Sus scrofa: one gene and its partners. The protein of the gene in region 3 purifies or fractionates together with the protein of the main gene of each other region. This does not show direct contact. Links are inferred from orthologs where the notes say so. Each region holds a gene or a part of one and is shown on either strand. Other genes may lie near its edges.

Evidence for each region.
Region 1: the proteins of SNRPA1 (region 3) and SRRM2 fractionate together in Homo sapiens (co-fractionation; 3 studies listed by BioGRID, with this or other methods). This does not show direct contact. The link is inferred for Sus scrofa from reciprocal best matches to the Homo sapiens genes SNRPA1 and SRRM2.
Region 2: the proteins of SNRPA1 (region 3) and SNRPD1 purify together in Homo sapiens (affinity purification with mass spectrometry; 4 studies listed by BioGRID and IntAct, counting the BioPlex papers as one, with this or other methods). This does not show direct contact. The link is inferred for Sus scrofa from reciprocal best matches to the Homo sapiens genes SNRPA1 and SNRPD1.

Annotation. Positions count from the first base shown.
Region 1 is NC_010445.4:39,274,305-39,278,460, reverse strand, and holds the start of SRRM2 (serine/arginine repetitive matrix protein 2), read right to left. Parts: upstream 2,848-4,156; 5' UTR 2,304-2,847; intron 1-2,303. UniProt on the Homo sapiens protein: Required for pre-mRNA splicing as component of the spliceosome. As a component of the minor spliceosome, involved in the splicing of U12-type introns in pre-mRNAs.
Region 2 is NC_010448.4:106,796,917-106,801,047, forward strand, and holds the start of SNRPD1 (small nuclear ribonucleoprotein Sm D1), read left to right. Parts: upstream 1-1,284; 5' UTR 1,285-1,428; coding exon 1,429-1,442; exon of another isoform or gene 1,443-1,463; intron 1,464-1,674; exon of another isoform or gene 1,675-1,749; intron 1,750-4,131. UniProt on the Homo sapiens protein: Plays a role in pre-mRNA splicing as a core component of the spliceosomal U1, U2, U4 and U5 small nuclear ribonucleoproteins (snRNPs), the building blocks of the spliceosome.
Region 3 is NC_010443.5:145,705,948-145,710,227, reverse strand, and holds the start of SNRPA1 (U2 small nuclear ribonucleoprotein A'), read right to left. Parts: upstream 2,836-4,280; 5' UTR 2,758-2,835; coding exon 2,676-2,757; intron 1,180-2,675; coding exon 1,032-1,179; intron 65-1,031; coding exon 1-64. UniProt on the Homo sapiens protein: Involved in pre-mRNA splicing as component of the spliceosome. Associated with sn-RNP U2, where it contributes to the binding of stem loop IV of U2 snRNA.

The DNA.
Region 1 (4,156 bases), on a different chromosome or scaffold from region 3:
CACAGCCCAGCCCTACAACCTTTTCCCTCACCGCGTGAAAGCCATTCCTGTTTGCAGCTCGTTCTTTTCCCACCCCAAAGATACTATTTATCCCAAATTTCTCCACACTGTCCTTTTATTCTCCCTTGGCCCAACTAACTCCTAACCCCTGGCAACTGAGGCCTCCAAACTGGGCACAACAAACACCAAAGAAAGATCTGTGGCACCCAAGGGCCTGCATTCCAAGTTTAAAGACTGTTCTAAGAATTGACCTAAAGATTTCATGCTACCCTGAAAGTACCCTGAAATTATGAATACAAATCGACTAAATAGCCCCTAAGTATTCAAACAAGTGGCCCAGACTAAAGGCCAGCACGAACATCCGAAACACATGAACCTTGATTTGTATATAACCCTCACACCTCACCTCCCAGACAAGGGGCCGCTTCCTATTAACTATCCCAACTGACGTGGATTCCTTCCCAACAGGCTTTCTCGTGTGGTGTGTGGCTCCCAAGTCTCACCAGTTCCTGATAAATATTAATTTTCAACTCAATTCTCTGAACACATCAAACTAGCCTGCCCTGTTTCAACTGTCCCCTTCTCTACATTCCTTCCCCTACCCTTACTCAGAAAACTCCCACTCTTCGTACCTCACATTCGTTACATCAGCTTTCCCTAAGAGTCCCAGGACCTCACTTCCTGGCTTCCTCCTCCAGCCCTCCTCGCCCTCTCACTCATCATCCTGCACCTGCCACCAGAACTTCTACCCTCTCAACCTGTCCCAACCCGGGTGTGGCTCTGAAGAGCCCTCAAACCCTAGTTTTTCTGATTAAATTTCTTGGCTAAATATACTCTATTCCTTTCTCCTGCTATATATTTTTTTTCTCCAACTCATCCTGTCAAAGGTAGTTTTCACAGGGGAAATGTGTGAGGGAAACAACCCCAGGAACGAACCCAAGGAACAAAGGGAGAAAGTAGTGAAAGCAGAGGGGAAAAAAAATATATATAACTGGATAAAAGGGAAGGCTTCATTTTAGAAACCCCCAGAAGGAACATCTGGATGAAGGTACTAAAAGCCCTCCCCACACCTAAGTGGAGAGAGATGTTGACTGAAATGGCAATGGCCCAACTCTAACAATTTGGAGCCCCTTAACCCTCAACTCTAAGGTTGGGACTCTGTTCAATCCCAATTGCAGACTCTGGAGGGAAAAAAAAAAAAAAATCCCTACTGGGGTAAAGGAGTGACACATAAAGCTAAATCTACGAAAAGTCAGTGGAACTATATGAAAATAAATGAAAACCTTTATAGCATATGAAATCCTTCAACCTCCATTTTTATCTTTTTTTTTGTTATTTTTCTCCGCCCCACTCTAAACCTAAGTCCTCTTTGGCTTTCTATACCCTACTTGGTTTCTGCTTCCCTTGCAGAACGCTTCTGATCTGCAATTAATTCTTCAACTCAACCATTCACCCACACTTCCATACCTCCTCACACAATAATCCTCCCACTCCCTGGAGAAGGAAAACCAGTAGATGATAAGCGTGCACTTTAAAATCTATTAAGTCACAACAGATGGGAACGCTTATAGGGAATGAGCCAATAACGAAGCCACAAACACACCATTCAAGACGGCGCTCAAAACATTTTAAGAACGAATAGACAAAAAAGTGTATCAACAACACACACAGATCATCAAAACCACATAAGGATTCTTAAACTGGGGTTCGCAGTCTGTGCATATGCAAAAAATCATCACCCAAGCATGCGGCAAAAAAGCAAAAGCAAGCTGCAAAGAAAGACGAAAGGGAGGTTTTTTTACTGTTGGAAAATCATCACAGTACCAAACTAACTAAGCAGAAAGGAGTTTCAAAATCCAATAATACGGTATTTAAGAAGAGAAATGCACCAAAAGGGGTGGGGAGTGTGCAGAAAAATGGACCTGAGTAACAGCGCAATAAGCTCAGTACAGGAGCAGTGTGGTAGCTGAGTGGACACTAGGCAGCCCAGAAAACGAAAATACTCGCTCAGGAAGAAATCCAAACTCACACACTCAGGAGAAGAAAAAAAACACAAAACACTTTCTCAATTTTTCGACCCAAAATATATCTTAAAGAGGCGTCTGAGAGGAAACCAAAAACTAGAAGACTTGGGCGCCAAATGAAGACAAAGTCCAGCGTTTCCTGAGGCTGGCAGCCTCTTCCCTAACTTTAACATAACTTTTTGGTAAATAACAAAACACGGGGAAAGAGGAAAGAAAGAGAAGGAGCGAAAGAAACAAAAGAAAAACTGAGAAAGCAGTACATGGCCTGCCTCTACGTACCTAGACTGAAGGACTTTTTTCCTAAACGTTTCCCTTTTTTAACGCTTCAAGACAGAGAGTAACGCATCCGAACTGTCTTAAATCTCTTGGGCGTTTAAGTTCAAGGCCTTCTCTGCACTGGCTGAGCCACCAGGGCCTATTTTCGGCCTTGAGGGAGAGGGAGGGGGCTGAGCGGCGCCCCGTAGTCTGGGAGGCTCAAGGCCGGACCACAAGCCTCCGGGAGGGACGGGTTGACCAAACCGAGAGGCTCAGGGGTGAGGAGCCGGGAGCGCCCCCCCCCGGCGCGCCGCCGCCGCCCCCTCCCCGCCGAGAAAATGTCGGCAAGGACAGCTGCAGGAGGGCCTCCCGGCCGCACGCGCTGGGGAGCCGGGAAGCCGAGTCGCGCGCTCCCCCCTCCTCGCCGAGAACGCGCGCGAGGCCGAGGGCAGTCGGCGGCGCGCGCCGTTACCATGGGGGAGGGGAGGAGGAATAAAGACCCGCGCGCGGTAAGAACCCCGAGGAGGGGGAAGGGAAGGCAGGCAAGCGAGAACGTCCGCACGAGCTAGGGGTGGCCAGCGCGCGTGCGCGCGGCGGCCTGAGCCGTTCTCCGCGCGCTTTGGCCTAGCGCCGGGGCCGCCGCCCCTCCCCCACCCGGCTCGCGCGCTCCCTCACCCGCCGCCGCCGCCTCCGCCCGCCGCTTCCGAGGGGGAGAGCTGTTGCCGCCGCCGCCGCTCGAGGTCCTGAGTCCCTCGGCGCCTGGAGTCGCCGCCTTGCCTCCCCGGTCCGCCCGTCTCAGCCGACACAGACGCCTCCTCGCTTCCTCAGGGGCCGCAGCGGGCTCCGACTGCGCCACTCGCACCCCGCCTGGGCCGCGCTGCACGTCAGCACGACGGACTAAGAACGTCAGCACGCTACCGCGCGCGTCGCAGGGCACGCCGGGAGCCGTAGTACTCTCCACGGCCTTGTGCGCAGGCGCCGAGACTGCACCGGGAAGTGTAGTTAATTAAGGCCCGAGGGAAGGGCAACTCCGTTGTCGAAGAACTATGATTCCCGTCGGCCCGTTGCCGACGCGGTCGGAGGAGCGGACCGAGAATGCAAGCAACGCATTCTCGACAGTTTCCGCTGGGAGGCGGAAGACATAGGGCCTATCGCCACATAGCCAGCGCGAGGGCTCTCCTTGACCTCCCGACTTCGTCCCAGGGTATCCTGGGAGTTGTAGTTCTAGGAGGACGCGGAACCCTTAAGTAGCTTCGCCTTCCCCTCACGCGGCCATTTTGTCTCCCCATGTTGGGAGGCGATGGTCCCAAGCCCAGGGACCCTGCGGCTCCCAGGTGATTGCCGTCCCCTGTCCTTCCGCACCCGGGAGACCTCTACCACCCCGCCCAGACCCCGGCCAGCGGACATCCCGGGAACCCCAGAGCCCAGCGTCTGGCTCAGGGCTTGAGCCTTAGGCCCGGCCAGTAGGCGGTCTTGTTCGCAGCTTCTGCCCGCCGCAGACAGTGTTGAACCGGGCGGCTGCACCCCGGGGATGATTTTTTGTTACCATCCCCCGCCTGTAAGGGGGCGATGAGCTTTTTCTCTTAGGGAACCTGAGATGTATCATATACGTGTTAGGGCGAAAACGTTACCGACGCCCTGAAGTTTTCCACCCCTCTGCAGAGTGCCTGAGTCCAGTTTTTTCCAGTGGGAGAGCAGCCAGTCTCCCTCAGAACAGAGGTGGAAGAAGCGAGGCTTCCCAGGCAGGCCACAGTTTCAGCTGGAGTCCCCACCTCCTGCTCGAACTGCAGTTTGCGCTCGGCTGCCCTGGTTAGTCCAGGTTCTTACACCCTCATCAGTGTTGGGGACATGGCTTGGATGGTCAGTCGAAAAATGAG
Region 2 (4,131 bases), on a different chromosome or scaffold from region 3:
TGTATTGGGTTTTTGATCACCATTAGAAAAGCAATCTCAGTGTATTTGAAGATCGAATTACAAGGCAATAAAAACAAGTTATAGACAGCTCATTTAAGGAGGTTTTCTGTGGAAGAAATCTGGTGGGAGCTAGAGCTGCATGAGAGGAGAATTTTTTTTTTTTAAGACCTCACCTGCAGCAAATGGAAGCTTGAATCAGAGCTGCAGCTGAGGCCTACACTACAGCTACGGCAACACTGGATCTGAGCTGCATCTGTGAACTACGCTGCAGCTTGTGGCAACACTGGAGCCGTAACCCACTGAATGAGGCCAGGGATAGATCCCACATCCTCATGAATACTAGTCAGGTTCTTACCCTGCCGAGTTCCCACAACTGGCACTACAAAATTTTTTCTTTCTTCCTTTCCTTTTTTTCTTTTTCCATTTTTGGCCATCTCCGAGGCATATGGAGTTCCCAGACCAGGAATCAGATCCAACCTACAGTTGGAACCCACACTACAGCCAGCTGTAGCAATGCAGGGCTGGACATCAAACCCGCGTCCTGGAGCTGCAGAGATGCTGCCCAATCCTGTTGCGCCACAGTGGGAACTCGTTGCTTGTTTGTTTTTTAGATAAATTTATATGTTGATAGAAAAAATCAGTAGAGAAGGAGGAATTGATGATTCAAATTAGAAGGGGATCATTGAAGGAGTGAAATTCTTGAGGAAATGAGATGGGATCCAGACTACAACCAAGAGGAATTTGCTTTCCAAAGGAGCAATAATACTTCTATCGTTGTCACAGAAAGGGAAGCAGAAGGATGGCTTCTGTTTTCTAAAAGTAGGATACGTTAGAGAGTGATTTGGGAGAAGAACTGTAAAAGGTTTGAGATAAAGAGAAGAAAGAAGGTATGAAATACTTTGTGAGCTTATTAGAGAAGCATAACGATCTCTGGGCAGTGCAAGGGACACTTTTGAGGTTTGTGACCAGAATTTAAAGTGAAAATAATCAGTTAAATTGTATGATTTTCTTCAGCACATTAAGTAACGCTGAGATACCTGGTGGTGGAGCATAATCCTTTGGGATTCTCCAATTATTTCCTTTCATTCACGAGAAAATTTGGTGCTACATAATACCCGGAGCCTTGTTATGCTCGCTAATAGGATTTAATTTCCTGAAATACTCTCTCTTACAGGAAGTTTCCTCCTGGATCGGCCCTAAACGCCCTTAACAGTTGCAAGGCACACCTCCTGCCGCCAGAGGCCGCACTGGCGCTACTCGCGGCCGGAAGGGAGAGTGGCCCAAGCGCAGCCTCGGCGTTTCCGCCGTGAGTGCGCAGGGATCCGCGCGCTCTTTACGTCGATCCCCGGGAGTAAGCGTTTCCGGTCATTCATTCTCCCTGCGGGTCGGCCTCTGCGGTGGGGTTTTGTGTACTATCGGACCGAGAGGATGAAGCTCGTGAGGTGAGGAGGTGACCGAGCAGGGTGGGTACTATGAGGGGATGTCCTGGACCGGGAGCGGGGGGGTTGAGCTGCCCGAGATGCAGGAGGCGCGAAAGCCGCGTGCGCGCGCGGCCTGCTAACGGCCTTCGGCGCCCGCCGCTCCCGCCCCATCTTGGTCGCGTCGCCGCGGGCACTCGACCAGGCTTCAGACTGGGTCGCCCAGGGATCTGCGGGTCTTCCGAGAGGTTGAAGGCCGGGCGGTGTTTTCCCATCAGGTGTCTTAGAGGCCTTAAAAGTACAGAGCCAGGCTTACAAGCTCTTACTTTCGGTGAGTTACAGACTTCCGTTTCTGTTAGAACGTTTCTGGCTCGTCTCAGCACTCAGGAACCGGCAAATTTAACTAGGTCCACGCTTCCTGAGAACGTGGGAGACATAAAAATTGTACATCCTGCACAAGTAGTTTAAATTAATGCATATTTTTTAATGAAACTACCGTCACACTTAAAAGAGTACTTAGAAGCTGCAGGGGTTTATCTGGAGATAATGAAATCCAATTCCGAAGTATTTTAAATCAGGGATCAGGGATGGACTTCTGATTTCCTGAGGTTTTTTTTTTTTTTAATAGTGTTTTTTTTCCCTCTTGTTGTTATTCCCTAGCCTTAAGATTATTCAACTTACATTTCCCTTTAAAATAGCCCTTTGATTTAGGAAAAAACCTCTCAATATGGGGTAGAATCACTCTTCCGTACTTTTTGGCTGATTACACAGATAATCGAGATTTATTCTGTTTATTTCTGTATTTAAATTTGGTCGATTAGTTGAGCCTGCTGAAGACTCGTTTACTGGTTGAGCTAATTCATCACAAAAACTACCTGCAAATAGATTGAGTTCTGATGTTTCTCCTTGAGGCTGAGAGCCTGGAACATAGAAGCAGAGGCTTTTACAACTCAGCCGGCAGTTATAAACTAGCTTAACTAGTTTATTGTCTGTTGAGTCAAGAATTGTCAATGTCGACCAAATAGTTAAGCACATGGAGTTCTTGGACCAGGGAACACATCCTAGCTGCATTTGCAACCTACTCGGCAACTGCAGCAATGCTGGACTGTGCCGGTGGGGATTGAACTGGGGATCGAACCTGCATCCCAGTGCTCCAGAGACGCCAAGAATCCCAGTTGTGCTACAGCAGTAGCCCACCCCCCCCTTAAAGAGTCCTATGTTGTAGTAGCGTTCGTTTTGCAGAGAAGATAGACAAGAAGATAGTTTGAGATAACATAAAGAATCCTCATTGTCATATTCAGGCTGGTGTTTGTAGAGAAGGCATTTAAGATTGACTTTTTGTCTATTTTTTTCCCTTCCAGTTTTATTGAGATGTAACTGGCTTTCAGCATTGTGTAACTTTAAGGTATATAACATAATGATTTTTTTTGGCCGTGCCAAAGGCATGTGGAAGTTCCCAGGCCAGGTATCGAACCTGTGCCATAGCAGCAACCCAAGGCTGCAATGACAACACTGGATTCTTTCTTTATTGACCAGCTGCACCACGAGGGAACTCCCACAGCATAATGATTTGATTTACGTACATCATAAAGAGTGTAGTGAACATCCATCATCTCATGTAGATATAAAATTAAAGAAATAGACAAAAAAATTTTTTTTCTTCTGATGAGAACTCATGATTTACTCTCAACAACTTTAATATATAACATACAGCAGTATTGATTACATTTATCATATTGCATATTACATTTCTAGTTCTTACTTATAACTGAAAGACTTTGTCCATTTTATTTGAGGTATAACTTTGAAGGTAAACATCTCAGAACTTAAAGTTTATTTTTTTTTCTTTTTTTTAGGGTCACATCCACGGCATATGGAAGTTCCCAGGTTAGGGGTCTAATCAGAGCAACAGATGCCAGCCTACGCCACAGCCACAGCAACGCCAGATCCAGCCATGTCTGCAGTCCACACCACAGCTCATGGCAACGCCAGATCCTTAACACACTGATCGAGGCCAGGGATTGAACCTACAACCTCATGGTTCCTAGTCGGATTCATTGTAGCTGTATCCCGACAGGAACTCCTAAAGTTTATTTTCTTAATGTCTGAATACTTGCCAGTCAGAGTCTTAGTATAGATAATACTCTTTGGAGTCTTTTGTCCCACTTAACGATAGTCCATGTTGTGACAGAATTTTCCTATAAAATTTTTTTTTTTTTTTTTTTTTTTTTTTGGTCTTTTCTGGGGCCGCACCTTCGGCATATGGAGGTTCCCAAGTCTAATCATAGATGTAGCCACCGGCCTACGACAGAGCCACAGCAACTTGGGATCCAAGCCGCATCTGTGATCTACACCACAGCTTATGGCAACACCAGATCCTTAATCCACTGAGTGAGGCCAGAGATTGAACCCGAAACCTCATGGTTCCTAGTCGTGTTCGTTAACCACTGCACCACGACAGGAACTCCTCCTATAAATATTAATGCTGTACTGAATCCTATTCTGTGTCTTAGACTATAGAAGCAAAATTCCTAATAATTGGAGAATGTATTTTGCACTGGGAAAATGGGTTTTGTATAACTAGTTTGCTAGGGATCCAGTCTGAGCTATAGCCAATGGCCTGTTCCACAGCCACAGCAACATAGGATCTGAGCTGCGTCTGTGACCTATACCACAGCTCATGGCAACGCCAGATCCTTAACCTACAGCAAGG
Region 3 (4,280 bases):
ATTGTTGGTGAGAATGAGTTCTGTCAGACAGGGCAGAGCCTGATCAAGTCCCTCACCTATACGGCTGAAATAAAAACAGAAGGACTCTTAGTAAACATGCAAATTAAGTCAGCTAAAAATTTTATCTGAGCCCTTGCTCAGAGGGCTTCAGAGTGGGAAGAAACTTAAGAGATCTTTCTTCCAAGACCCTGACAGGAAAATAAGGCACAAAAAGAACTGTCTGAGGTCACACAGGTGACAGAAGTAGGATGACTTTAAAACCCACATCTCCTGAAAGATGTCCAGGGCCCTTCCTACTGCCACACTATCTTAACGAAACCAAAGACAAGAAATTCCTGTGTAAAACAGACTACTTAGTTCATCTCAGGACCTGTGTGAAGCCCAAAAACATAAGTGATTCTGCAGTCAGAGCTCAGGCACAAGATAAGCCAGTAAGCAAACCACAGTGGAATAGTTAACTCACGAGAAATAATGGGCATTTAAAAAAAAGCAACTCACTACCCAGCACTTCTATTGTGTGTGTGTGTGTGTGTGTCTGTGTGTCTTTTTAAGGCTGCACCCACAGCATATGGAGGTTCCCAGGCTAGGGGTCAAATGAAAGCCAAAGCTGCCGGCCTACACTACAGCCACAGAAATGCCAGATCCGAGCCACATCTGCTACCTATGCCGCAGCTTATGGCAATGCCAGATTCTAAAACCACCAGGCAAAGCCAGGGATTGAACCCAGATCCTCATGGATACTAGCTGGGTTCTTAACCTGCTGAGCCATAATGGGAACTCCCCAAAGCAGTAGGTTTTTAACTTAAATTAGAAATGTACCATGAATACATAAATAATACAAGATTTCTGAATAGATGCAAGTAAGACCAGACCAATACCAAATTCATCTCTGGATCTGTATGGGAAAAGTGTAGTTCATTTTCCATTTAAGAAATACGTAGGTGTAACTGGCAATACTGCAACTTCTTTATGGAACTCTGCTACATTTACTCTAGGGGAACAAAAATTACTTTCCACTAGTAGACACTTACCATATTCTATTGTTGTTCACTAACAATGTTTTCAGTCTTCTCAGCAAAGGAAAACCATCTAGTTTCCTGATTTCATTGTCAGAAAAATCAATGGCATCAAATTGGTCTAAGGTAGCACCTAGATTTTCAATGACAGGAATTTTGTACCCTGGAGAAAGGAGGGAAAAAACACACAAGGAAACATTAGCAGCATTTCATGGTAATTGGACTCAAAGCTTTCATTCAATCAGAAAGTTGTTTATCTAGCACCTATGCTGTGCCAAACACTGCCAAAGCACTGGTTGATTACAAGGGCAATAAAGATGAGAATACTCGCTAACAGTAATACTAATAGGTAGCTAACATTTCCAAGTATACTTACAAGGTGCCTTGTATTGTTCTAAGCAAGGCCCCAAAGCTAATGAAGTGGCCTAACAGGACTTTACACTGTGAGCTGCCTACTGTCAGTGTCCAAGCCTTGTCCACGTATTGTGGACAGTAATAGCTCCCAACCTTTTTTGCATTTCCACAGGTCAGATTCCCAGAACTCATTTGGATATCTTCGTATCATGACAGTTCCCACTTCTCTCACCTCCCAGAGGCCCAACCCAGAGTTGAAGGTCAATTTGTACACAATGGTAAATCACCTTGTGAACAACTCACTCAAACGCTCACTGATTTGTCTTCTAGGGGCATAATTATTGTCTTAGGTGCTAGGAGAAGAAAAGAAGTTAACCTAGGCAAGGTTAAATAAGTACACATTTCAGAGCTCTAAAGGCTCAAAGTTAAGTGCTGTACCAAAACGAGCATTCTCAACACCGGATGCACTTCAAACTCAGGCAGACATCAGCCTGTGCCAAGAGTATGAAAGCGGTGGGTTACTCTTGAGTCGAACCTATGATATTTAATTTCAACAAAACGAAAGTACTATGTCAGCAAACAAAAAAGCAAGCAGAAAGCAGGGCCCGCAGCAGTGCTGCTCCTGAGACGGTGTTCTCCCCCGTGGGGGTGGATCTCAAGCCAACACTTAACCCCGGAGAAGTCGTCCTTCACACCCTTTCTAAAGCCTCTCCTACTATGCAGACGAGTTGCCACAGGAATCTAATAGTCTGGAGGACTTCCGCCTCCCTTATAGACGCAAGACATCCGGCAGCCCTAGCGTGGCTGAAACAGTCTGCTCTTTGAAAGGTTTTGGCAAAAGGGAAATAGATCCTTGAAGCTAAGGAGGAGGAAAAGCCGGGAAAAAAAATCGCTTTTGCTCCGGACTTCACTTCCTCCGTCCCATACCCAACCTATATTCTCATGACTTCACTTTACCGTATCTCGGTCCGCACGAGGATCACAAACACGGCTCAGCACCCCAACGGCTCAGCCCACCCCGCAGGCGTGTACTTCCCCGCCCCCCAACGGCTCAGGTCACTCGGCAGGCCCGGCACCGGCCCCGCGGTCTGACCCAAGCATCGAGGCGGTCCCGGGCGGTGGGGGCTGGGCTAAGGAGAGCCTCGAAGGAGTCCAGGGTCGGCGTTTCGCCGACGACAGCGGGACTCAGCCGGGGTAGGAACCGGGACGCACGCCCCAGGCCACGTTCCCGCCCTTCGCGCACGCGGCGGGCGCAGGCCGCCGAGCGGGCGGGGAGGCCGGGCCGCCCGCCCCCGCCCGACTCACCTCGCAAGTCCAGCTCGCGGTCCCGCACGGCGTTGGTGTATTGCGCCGCCTGCTCGATCAGCTCCGCCGTCAGCTTCACCATCCTGTCGCCTCCCGCCTGCAGTGTCTCCCGCTCCTCCCGCCGCACCGACGTCCCGGCGTACCCCGCGCCCGCCGCCAGGCAGCATCAATCGCTTCCGGCGTGTGCTAACAGCGCGGCTCCCAGGCCTAATCAATCGAGGAGCCATTTCCTCCGTGATCGGCCCCGCCCCCGGGCTCGGGCACAGCTTTTGGGCTTTAGCTCCCGCGCTCTCCGCGGCGCATCTGGTTCTGAGTTCGTTCCTCTTGTGCAGCTTCGGCCTGCAGTGCCCCCGAGTCCAGATATTTGTGTCCGCAAGTTAATAAAGAGTGAAAGCCCACGAGTGGAACTTTCGCGTGCGTCAGGACACCTAGAGGTGAAAGGGAGGCAGTGACTGCTTTCACTCCGCCCATGGGATTCAGTGATGGGTCCCGGGCTTTGGCATCCGGGTGACACCATGAAGACCAAGCCTGGGTCTTCCGCACTGGTCTAGTTTGCAGTCAGGCCTGCCCTCTCTAGACAATTAGATATTCATGCTGAAGCCTGATAACACAGGAAGTGTGCAGATCTAAAGTCTGCAACATGACAAATGCCCACAGAGTGAGCACATTTGGGTGGCTGCTGCTGGGGTCCTGAAATTCGGAGACTCCTTCATTCCCCAAAGGGAACTACGAATCCGTCACCATAGATTAGTTTTGCTTACTTTTATATAAAGAGAATGATGCAATCTGTTTTTGTATCTGGTTTCTTTGGCTCTGTGTCATGCCTAAAATCCATCCAGGTTGCAGGCAGCAATGATTTGCTTACTTGCTGCTGTATAGAATTCTATTGCGTCTCTTACACCATAACAATCCATTTCGCTGTCGATGGACATTAGGTTTGTTTCCAGCTTGGGGCTAGTCTGCATAATGCTGCTATGAATTTTGTTGTACGTGGATCGCATGCACCTGTGCCTGAACTTTTCCAGGAGTGAAACTAAGGAGACAAAGTGTGTGGTATTATTGATAGGTACTGCCTGATGATAACTTCCAAGAGGCTGGAATCATTTCCACACTGTAGTGGTGTGTAAGGGTTTCCATCACTTGCCAACATTAACCTCATTTGCACTGTCAGTCTTCATAATTTTAGCAATTCTGGTGAGTACCAGTGCACTATTGCTTTCATTTGCTTTTTTCTAATAATAGTTAAGCATATTGTCCATTCTGATATTTTTTTACAAAGTGCCCATTCAAGTCTTTCTCCCATTTTTTTTCTTAGTGGGTTTTCTTTTTTCTTATTCCTTTTAAGATTTCTTTATATATTCTGAGTGTGAGCATACTATATGGCTTGCCTTTTACTCTTTTTTGGGGGGTAGTAGTTTAAACTTCCTAAATACCAAACACCTCACAGGAAGCCAAAATACTGTCCTCGTATACATCATCAAGCTGCAAAACACAAATTTTAGTACATTTTGGTCTGTTTAAGAAAACATCTTATTTCCCAAATCACCAAAATCATAATCTGGGCTGTAATTTTAATCAGAAGGATAAGAAATGTGACTGCCTCGC